Cricetulus griseus: one gene and its partner. The protein of the gene in region 2 binds, or shares a complex with, the protein of the main gene of each other region. Links are inferred from orthologs where the notes say so. Each region holds a gene or a part of one and is shown on either strand. Other genes may lie near its edges.

What was found. Proteins that work in one complex are often made in the same cells at the same time.
Region 1: Abi1 (region 2) and Wasf2 share a complex: the UniProt entries of both Homo sapiens proteins name them as parts of the WAVE2 complex. The link is inferred for Cricetulus griseus from reciprocal best matches to the Homo sapiens genes ABI1 and WASF2.

Annotation. Positions count from the first base shown.
Region 1 is NC_048595.1:20,138,870-20,144,091, forward strand, and holds the start of Wasf2 (wiskott-Aldrich syndrome protein family member 2), read right to left. Parts: upstream 3,291-5,222; 5' UTR 3,110-3,290; exon of another isoform or gene 3,105-3,109; intron 2,921-3,104; exon of another isoform or gene 2,792-2,920; intron 1-2,791. UniProt on the Homo sapiens protein: Downstream effector molecule involved in the transmission of signals from tyrosine kinase receptors and small GTPases to the actin cytoskeleton. Promotes formation of actin filaments. Part of the WAVE complex that regulates lamellipodia formation.
Region 2 is NC_048596.1:211,242,689-211,247,266, reverse strand, and holds the end of Abi1 (abl interactor 1), read right to left. Parts: intron 2,549-4,578; coding exon 2,373-2,548; 3' UTR 857-2,372; downstream 1-856. Other genes in the region: Pdss1 (decaprenyl-diphosphate synthase subunit 1), read left to right, coding at 308-448. UniProt on the Homo sapiens protein: May act in negative regulation of cell growth and transformation by interacting with nonreceptor tyrosine kinases ABL1 and/or ABL2. May play a role in regulation of EGF-induced Erk pathway activation. Involved in cytoskeletal reorganization and EGFR signaling.

The DNA.
Region 1 (5,222 bases), on a different chromosome or scaffold from region 2:
CACAACCCTGAAGAAGAAAAAAAAAAAAAACAAAAAAACAAAAAACAAACCAGCTCTAAAATCCTGCTAGCACAAATCATCTTTCTCTCGGGTGTTCAGAAAAAGGTACTATTTCTCTCAATAGCTATAGAAAACAAAGAGAGCAAAGAACCTATAAATTATTATTTATAAAAGGGGGGACAGAAAGGGCTGGCGATGTAGCTCAGCGGTAAATCACACCTGCTTAGCAGACACAATGGAGTTCCATCATCAGCACCACAAATAAAGACAAGGGAGAGAGGGTCATTTTAGCATCTAAAAGCTAGTACAGAGAGAGTACTAAAAGATATATTCTGGTACCTAAGAGAAAATGCACATCAGACAGATTTTAACTAAAGTAAAAGTTTTATGTCAAGCCAGGCATTGGTGGCTCACACCTTTAATCACAGCACTCAGGAGGCAGAGACAGGCAGACCTCTGTGAGTTCGAGGTCAGCCTGGTCTACAGGACAGACTCCAAAGCAATACAGAGAAACCCTGTCTTGAAAAAAAAAAAAAGTTTTATGTCACAGAAAAGAAAAAGTTTTCCACATAACACTCAGAATCAACTCCACTATACAGTGTTTACTGTACGAGTATTTTGCTTACATGTATGCATGTGCACCATGAGCATGCCTGCTGTCTGAGATCACAAGTGGGAATTGGATCCTTTGGAACTGGAGTTACACATACTCACACACATGCAGGTAATTTAAAAGAAGGTGGGGTGCTAAGGGGATGAAGAGATTGCTCAGCAGTTAAGAGCACTTGTTACTCTTTCGGGGGACCCAAGTTACTAACACCCATATGGTGATTCATAGCCATTAAAAAATAATAATAAAACAATTTAAATGTCAAAATCCAATGGTAGTGCCCAATGTCTGTAATCTCAACATTTGAGAGTCAGACACAAAAAGATACCAGTTCAAGGACAGAAAAATAAATAACATTAAAAAGAAAATAATAGCCGGGATGTGGTGGTGCACGCCTTTAGTCCCAGCACACGGGAGGCAGAGGCAGGCAGATCTCTGTGAGTTTCAGACCAGCCTCCAAAGCCACAGAGAAACCCTGTCTGGGGCGGGGGAGGGAAGAAAATAACAACAGATATAAACAAATGTCCAAACACATATTTTTCAAGTGATGGTGGCTCTTCGTCCTCTAATAGCAGAGTCAGATCATGCCAAAAAAACCCAGAGTTAAATCTTGGTTAAAATTTGGCCAGAGACTGGAAAGTATGGTGGGAACAATGAATCAACAATGAGAACTCACTAAAATGTTCTTCAAACATTTACCTGAGAGGATTTAGGACTTAAAAGTTATTTCATTCTAGATTCCAGAATCTAGAATATCATCCTCAAAGTCCAGCCAATTGCCTTTTCCTGGGCAAGCAGTGTCTCCCACACAGCCCAGGACAGTCCTCAAAACTCTCTGACAGGAAGCAGAATTTAGAAGTTCTCCCCTTCCTTCCTCCTTTAGCTGCTGCTTTTCTGCTTTTAGAATTTCAAACAAAGAAAATACATAGTGGCTCCACAGCTAAGAAACGCCCTCTTTCTCGGCAACTTCCTCTTCCTCCCTACCATTGACAGATGAGAACAATACTCACAGCTGAACTACTATTTTGATTAACCCAAGCCTCCTGAGGGTTATAAAGCTTAAGGGCTATGGTACCCAGCCTCCTCCTACCCAAAGTCCACTGTCTTCATTCACCTGAAAGATAAGGGAAGTACAAAGAAAGAAATGCTGCGCTTAAACACAGGTAGGCTACTGAAACTTTAACCCTGAGGAACCCAAAGAAATTTAAACGAACAGATGGGTAGTTTCTTCCTCCCAATACAATATAGCCTTCCTACAGAGGAGAGACAAGACACTGGAATGGTACCAGCCTGAACCAGAAGTCTGTACACCAAAAGCTGAACTTTTCTGCTCCAGGACCCCTGCATGAACTCAAACTGAATTCTCTGCTGTTCTGACACACTTCGAAGTGACATTTAACAGTTGGAAATGGATCTTTCTAAGTCACAGAGTGAAAAAAGGGGATGGACTTATAATTAATAACCCTGAGCTCAAGACCTCGCCTGTCCCCACAGCAGAAGTGAAATCAAATCTCTGGGCTACAGCCCTCCTCCACTTCTGACAAAGCAAACTTCCCTTTTAAGCCAGCAGTGACTTACCCCTGCCCCCCGGTGCTTCCCAGAGGAAACACCCTCACGTTGCCACGCATTACTGTATGGCCCTGAACAAGTTACTTAACTTCTCTGAAACTTGGCTTCCTCACCTGTAAACTCCTAAGGACAACAGAAAAAATCTTAACAAGAATGTATTCCGAAGGTTTGACGCATAGTAGAACAACCATAAACTTTTTTTTTCTTTTTTTTTTTTTTTTTTGGCTTTTTTCCTCTTCCGCGCTTGGTTTAAATGACAATAGTAGCCCCAAAGGCTCCAAGGGCGTCCTCGTCATCTCTGAATCTATGAACGACTGTGTATAAAACTTCCTCATCTCAAAGGACCAAAGGAACCTGGCCCGTCACGATCTGGGTGGCACCCATGCTTTGGCACAAGTGGTCCCGTCAGCCAAGGATCCTCTCTCTGCGGCTCATTCTGTGCACACGTGCGCGCGCACACACACAGAGTGCTCTACCCACTCCCCAGCTTAGCGGGCCAGGGACCTCAAAGATACCTCAATCCCTTCGTGGTCCAAATATGGAAACTGAGGCTCAGCCTGGAGAAGAACTTGCCCAAGCCCTCGGGAAACTGCTGAGACCCAATTCACGTACCTCTGCGAAGTCTCTTTACAAGTGGTAAACTGAGGCCCAAAGACGGAAGTGACTTGCTCAAGAGCACCCGGCGAGTTGGTGACAGGGCCACAGGTCGTCACTTTTCGCCGGCCCTCCCAAGTCTCCGAAGGGCACTCTGGGCCGCCCCCCCCCCCGAGGTGTCGCCACAGCACTGACAGCACGGGGACCGTGGCAGCGGCAGCCGGAGCGGGCACCGGTGCCCCCCCAGCCCCCGCCCCGGGACCCTGAGGGGCCGCCCGGCCGGCGCTCGCGCCTCCCAGCCGGACGCGCCCAGCGGGGACTTGTTGCTCACCTGACCTCGAGCAGTCGCCCTCAGCGGCATGAAGGGCTGGCCGGCCGGCCCGTGTCCCCGCGGAGTGCGCCCCAGCCCACCGCCTCGCGCGCCGCCACACAGCCGGAGCCCACCTCAGCGCGCTACACCCCCAGCCGCACTCCACCGGCCCGACTCCGCCATTACGTGTTTCCCCGCCCCGGGACGCAGCCACACCCCGCCAACCGTTCTGATTGGCTCCCCGCCCCACCCGCCCCGGGCTTCCAGCTATGCCATTGGTCCGGATCCAATGCCAATTAAATAAGTACGCAAAAGACGTATTGAAAGATAGTGTCCCGGGAGCTCCACCCGAAGGACTTCCGCAATCGGAGTAAACAGAGGCTAGGGCAAACCAAGTGGAGTGGAGGTAGAAATGATGGTAAATCGACGCCCAAGTTCGAGTAGAAAAATATTAGCTAAGAAAGTGCAAGACCTCGTCCAACTTGTGTTGAAAGATAGTTTCTTTTTATCGGAGTCCGAAAAGTCAGTATTTTTGGTGGAAGGAACGGGCCGAGCCTATGAACTTTCTGTGGACACCCCTCGAGTTGCAAATAGTTATGTCCCTTCACGCCTTGTCCCAGGCCGGACCGAAAGTCGGGTGGGGAGTGTGAGTCATAGGCTTCAGCTCACCCTAAAGGACAGGTATCCAGTTGGAGCTTGGGTCCTGGAATTGGGAGCTAGTTCTGAGAGGCCACTGTCACGTGTCACTTCACTCCCCGACTTCAGACAACTCCAGCCTACCTAGTTCTCACTTTGTTCTACAAAATAGAGGCACTAGGCCCAGGCAGGTCTGCTTCCAGTCCATTTAGGTGGGGGATAGGAGGACACTTGCCCAATAGCTAATTGAATACAAGATGCTGCATCTGGGTGACAATGTGACAATCCAGTTTGGCTCAGTTAGTATTCTGGAGCAAGTCTGTATAGCAGAGATAGGCCTCTTACGCAAGGATGACAGGAGTCGCTGTTACTGTCATGTCTTCTGGGCTCTTTGCAGTGTATTGAACTTACTTTTTAGAAAGGGAGTGTGGCGAGACAACGACACAGCTGTCAGTAAAGTGCCACTTTGAAAGCATGAGGACCACCAGCCGGGCATTAGTGGCGCACACTTTTAATCCCAGCACTCGGGAGGCAGAGGCAGGCAGATCTCTGTGAATTCAAGCCCAGCCTGGTCTCCAGAGTGAGTGTCAGGACAGCTTCCAACACTACACAGAGGAAACCCTGTCTCGAAAAACAGAAAGAAAAAAAAAAAAAAAGATTTCCCGGGTTTTGGTGGCACACGCCTTTAGCCTTTAAATCCCAGCACTAGGGAGGCAGAGGCAGGTTGATCTCTGTGAGTTCGAGGCCATCCTGGTCTACAGAGTGAGTGCCAGGACAGACAGAGAAACCCTGTCTCGAGGAAAAAAAAAAGGTACAACAGATCCGATGATGGCGACCTGTAATAACAGCTATAGAAGGCAGAGACAGGCAAATGTCTAGAGCTCACAGGCCCAGGCACTTAACCTGCTTGTCCAAACTTATTTGTTTGGACAAATTGTTTTGTTTAAGATTTATTTATTTAATGTGAACTGGTGTTTTGCCTATAAATATTGAATCCCCTAGAACTGGAATAACAGACAGCTGCAAGATGCCATATGGGTGCTGAGAATTGAACCAGGGTCCTCTGGAAGAGCAACCAGTGCTCTTAACCACTGAGCCATCTCTCCAGCCCCTTGTTTTGGTTTGTTTGAGATGGAGTTTCTCTGTGTAACAGTCCTGGAACTTGCTTTGTAGACCAAGCTGGCCTCAAACTCTATGGCTGCTTCTGCCTCCCAAGTGCTGGGATTAAAGGTGTGTGCCACTACCACCGGGCTAGATCAATATTCTTGTGGAAAAGTGAGACCAGGGATGTGACCAACATGTTCCCAGAATCTTAGGGGTCAACAGAGATGACAAGTAGGTGAACACATGCCAAGTGAGGTTGCCCCTGGGGAACTGCAGTGAAACAGCCAATGCCAGGTCTTTAATTTTTATTTTATTTTATTATTTTGAGACATGGTCTCTCTACTATGTAGCTTTTGGCTGTCCTGGAACACTATGTAAGCCAAGTGGCCTGAATTTACA
Region 2 (4,578 bases):
TGATATAATGATTAGATTTGGAAATGCTGGGGATGAGCTATGTCATTTGCAATGTGAAAGGCATTTTAATATATATAGATACAACTTTTAAAAACTTGTAATGCTTCAGTAGATGTAACAGAAAATGCCTGGCTGCTTGAGAGGCTTCTGTGTGTGCTAATAGAACTAAAGTGCGTTTCCATATGAAATGGGATATAAATAGAAGCAACAAGCCATTTGCTGGAAAGAACTTCAGATTATTAATGGTTTATTGTGACAGCATTCTGGGAGCTGATCAGTGATCTGTCTGTTTTGTTGTTTCCTGTAGAGTGATGGCGTGCAACAAACAACCTACCTCGCCCAGCAGTACTGCCACGAAGCAGTGAGAGAGATCAGGAAACTTAGAGCATCCACAGAAAGGGATGCCCTCATCCAACTTTCTGAAAGTGTGCTCACAAGAGATAAATGACAATTCTTCCTGTTCTTTCTGGCAGCTATTTTACCAGACTGTGCCTAATGAATTTTGTGAAACACTATTTGCTTCATGTGCAGATAACCAAAAATCACTTTAGGAAATAATTTCAACCTTATTGATGGGCAATTTTTTTTTATTGGCAAAGTTTTTCAGAAAACTTTTTAAATGTAATTAAACCAGTGTCATTATAGTCCTATAAATTCTAATCGAGGTATCCTGATGGTTATGTGTGGTCCTGTTTACATTGTTAATGCCCACATGGAAAGCCATTACACAAATAAATAATCAATGTTAAAATTCAAGTGGTTTGTCTTTGTTTCATCATAGGATTAAAGGTCAGAGAATTTTGAAGTCTGTACTTAAATTTAAATCCACATCAGTTATATTTTAACAATATCCAAATTTTTTCATTTAGGAGCATAGTTTATTATAAAAGACTGTAGATAAAATTTAGACAACAGATTATTTACAAATTAAGACATTCTGCTTCAAAAAGAAAAGGCATAATATAGCTATCTGATCACTAATGACATAATACTTCAAAAATAACAAAGGTAAAATATAAATGAAATAGTTGTTGATTTGGTAGGAACAATGGTCTTTAATTTTCAGAAATATTTTGCACTGCTCTCGCATTTACTATGCTGTCATACATCTGTAATCCTCAATACACAGAAACCCACACTTGTGTGATCTACTGTAATATCCTAAGCAGAACAGAATTATATACAAGAGAAATATCCCTCTAACCCTCCCTTAAATCAAGGAGACACACAAAGTGCATGTGTTGCATTTCAGCCACAATACAAACCTGCTTATTACCTGTTTACAAAGAAATACATGACCCACTTTCTTTCCCAATTGTAAAATCTTATGTTGCTAGTGCCAGGTAATGGATTAAATATGCTATCTGCAAATTAATTGCAATCACTTTACAATATGTAAAACGTTTTCCTTCCATTGAACCAGTGTAAATTCATTTTCATTAAAACCGAAGACTAGCGTGGCACCCCTTTGGATTTTTACCTACAGGATGATGTGCTTACTTTGACACAATGTCTTAGCTCCGAAATCTGCAAAATTCTGTGACTTTGCTATTCGGACACATTAAGATAAAGCTAAAAATATTTCCCAGCAAATACAGTGAGAAAATAGAACCATAATTCTGCAATAAATCTTTTGTGTTGGGATTGTGTCCATGCATATGCATGAGCACACACATTTAAAGCAAACCAGTAAAGGAGTGGACAAATTCCCTTGGTTCACTTATGTATTTATGAATGGAAAATTTATAATGTAAATTTCACTCATTAAAAAACTTAGGTACAAATTACAACATTACAGATAATCTTTCGTTTCACATGAAGAACCTAGAGACTCAAGTATAAGTACTCCAGATGTTACACAAATTGGAAGCATCTTGAATTGTTAAGTATCTTTCAATACATAAAATTTTATGCATGCTTTAAACACAGTATTCTTAAAAAATGAGAATTTAAACCAAAAGTATGACCAGCACCAGCATTAAGTTTTCTGTTTTTCCTATTAGTCTGACATAATGTTAGTGACCATGCTGCACTGAAACATGTAATGGTGCATTCTGAACCATGATTTGTTAAACGTAATAAACCACATCCCCAGAATATTTAGGCTGGTCATAAAGTTATCAAGGTGTGAGTACATATGCATAATCAATTACAGGCAGTCTCTGGTATAAACTGCTGTTCAGCAATATGTGAACTGCCTCCAAAATGTATGCTTACAGGTAGACATCCAAATATACCAATAAAACATGTCCTGAAAATATGGGCACATTTTAAACATTAAGACAATTCTGTTAACCATATAGTCCCACAGTATGACGGAGTAATAACCTACATGAAAAGAAAACCAAAGAAAAAAGGAAAAAAATAAAAACCTAATCAGTATAGTGCATGATTGATTCCACATAGTTCCCAGGGAAAAGTCCAGTCACTCGATTGCAAACTCCTTCAAACCAGCCATCATCATTCTTCTTTATGACATAGATGATTGCACCCTCTTTAAAGGACAGCTCATCATCCTTGTCTTTTGTATAATCATATATTGCAACAACTGTGGAAAAAACAAAGTATGACATTGAGAGTACAATCTCCATTTACTTGAACTTTAAAATGTAATGACAAATCTATATAGTATAGGAAAACTAAATATTTTTGTTTTTCAAGGCAGGGTTTCTCTGTGTGGCCCTGATTGTCCTGGAACTCATAGAGATCCACCTGCCTCTGTCTCCCAAGTACTAGGATTAAAGGTGTATGCTGCCACCACCACCACCACCTGGCTGGACTTAAATTTTCCTACCAGTATAAGTAAGTGGCCAACGAAGTTCCTAAACCACTAACCACACTGACAATATGATCACACTAAAGAAGGCACCGAGTTCTAAATCTGAGGGCCACCAAGATGCCCTGACTTTGATCCTTAGAATACTACATGGCGGGAGGGAACTGACAGTTAGTTGTCCTCTGATCTTCATACATACAGGGCCGTGTGTCCCTCCCCCATAAAATAAATGAAGTAATAATAATTTTAAAATCTTGGAATTTAGGTTTTAGTTTTGGTTTTCTGACACGAGTTCTCATTATTTAGCTTAGACTGACATCACACTTGTGGTTTTGTCTCAACACCCCAAGTGCTAGGATTACAGGCCTACATTCCCATAGAACGAAGTGTTGAATTCAGGATTTATTTAGTATTTCTATTCATTCAGACAAATATCCATGGAATATCTAAGCAAAGAATCATTTTACAAGTGCAGTAAACCAGATAACTCAAGCTGTCTATTTTAACCATACCATACATTTATAAGTCTACTTATTCAAAATTCTGTGGTAAATGTTGGGGATATACTCAGGTTTTAAAATGGAAAAGGGACTACTCACTTTTAAAAGTTTATTTTTAATGATGGCAAAGTAAGGGAAAATGCAGAAAGTATGATACAAAGTTCAATATACTCTTCCTTTCCAGTTAAAATATCCTTTCCAGTTGTTGTAGAAAGGGAAAGCAACTTAGATGTACAACTTTCTGCATTATTGCCTTGTGAATTTAAATATCTCCTTTAGTCCATTTCTATAACATAATTCTAAAATTACATGTGAATGGTAAATATATAACATGAATTTTTCAAATTTACTCCATTTATTCTTAGCACTCTTTTTTTCTTAAAATAAGGAATTTTTGAACATTTATGATACATATATTTTCACCCTAAGAAAGATGGCCTGTCTCCTTACTAACTCTAAATTAGTGAAACAGGGAAAGATTACATACTGATCAATTGCCATCATTTCTTTTTTTATAATTTACTTATTTTTATTTTATATGCATTGATGTTTTGCCTGTATGCATGTCTGTTTGTGTGAGGCTGTCAGATCTTGGAGTTATAGACAATTGTGAGCTACAATGTGGGTGCTGGGAATTGAACCCGGGTCCTCTGGAAGAGCATTCAGTGCCCTTAACCGATGAACCATCTCTCCAGCCCCCTCAATTGCCATCATTTATTAAGTTAAATAGGCAGTCTACTCCTTACAAAACAATGTGGTAAGTGGATTCACAAGCCCATTTCTTTCCATTAGTTCTACAGCAAAATCACAGTATGGTGATTATGATCTCAATAGCATATTAAAGCTTAGAGTGCACATGCTATCAAAAATATCCTAGCTAAATAATAACAAGCTAAAAGGATCAAGTGATTGCAAGGGATTAACAATTATTAAGAAAAGCTCTGTAAATAACTTTAACTTTGGTAATAATCTTGTATCTAGAGTCACAGGAGGTGAGATTCAGTGCTGTAGACTGACTTTAAACTGACAAAAGCCAGAAACAAAAAACATTTCATGTTCTTAGATCCTCTTATACAGATGGCTCAGAAAGGTACTGAACCACACTGGTTTCCAGGTTTCCTCTGTAATAGTCTTATCTCAATGTATATACCCCCTCATATAATTTCCCTTACTGCTATTTAACCACTAATAATAATTTGATGTTGATTATCTTGATTAGATCCTGGAGAAATAGAAAGGGTCAAACTCTCCCTTCTATGTGTACTAGAAGACTCTCTGGAATTTAAATTTATTAGGTTAATC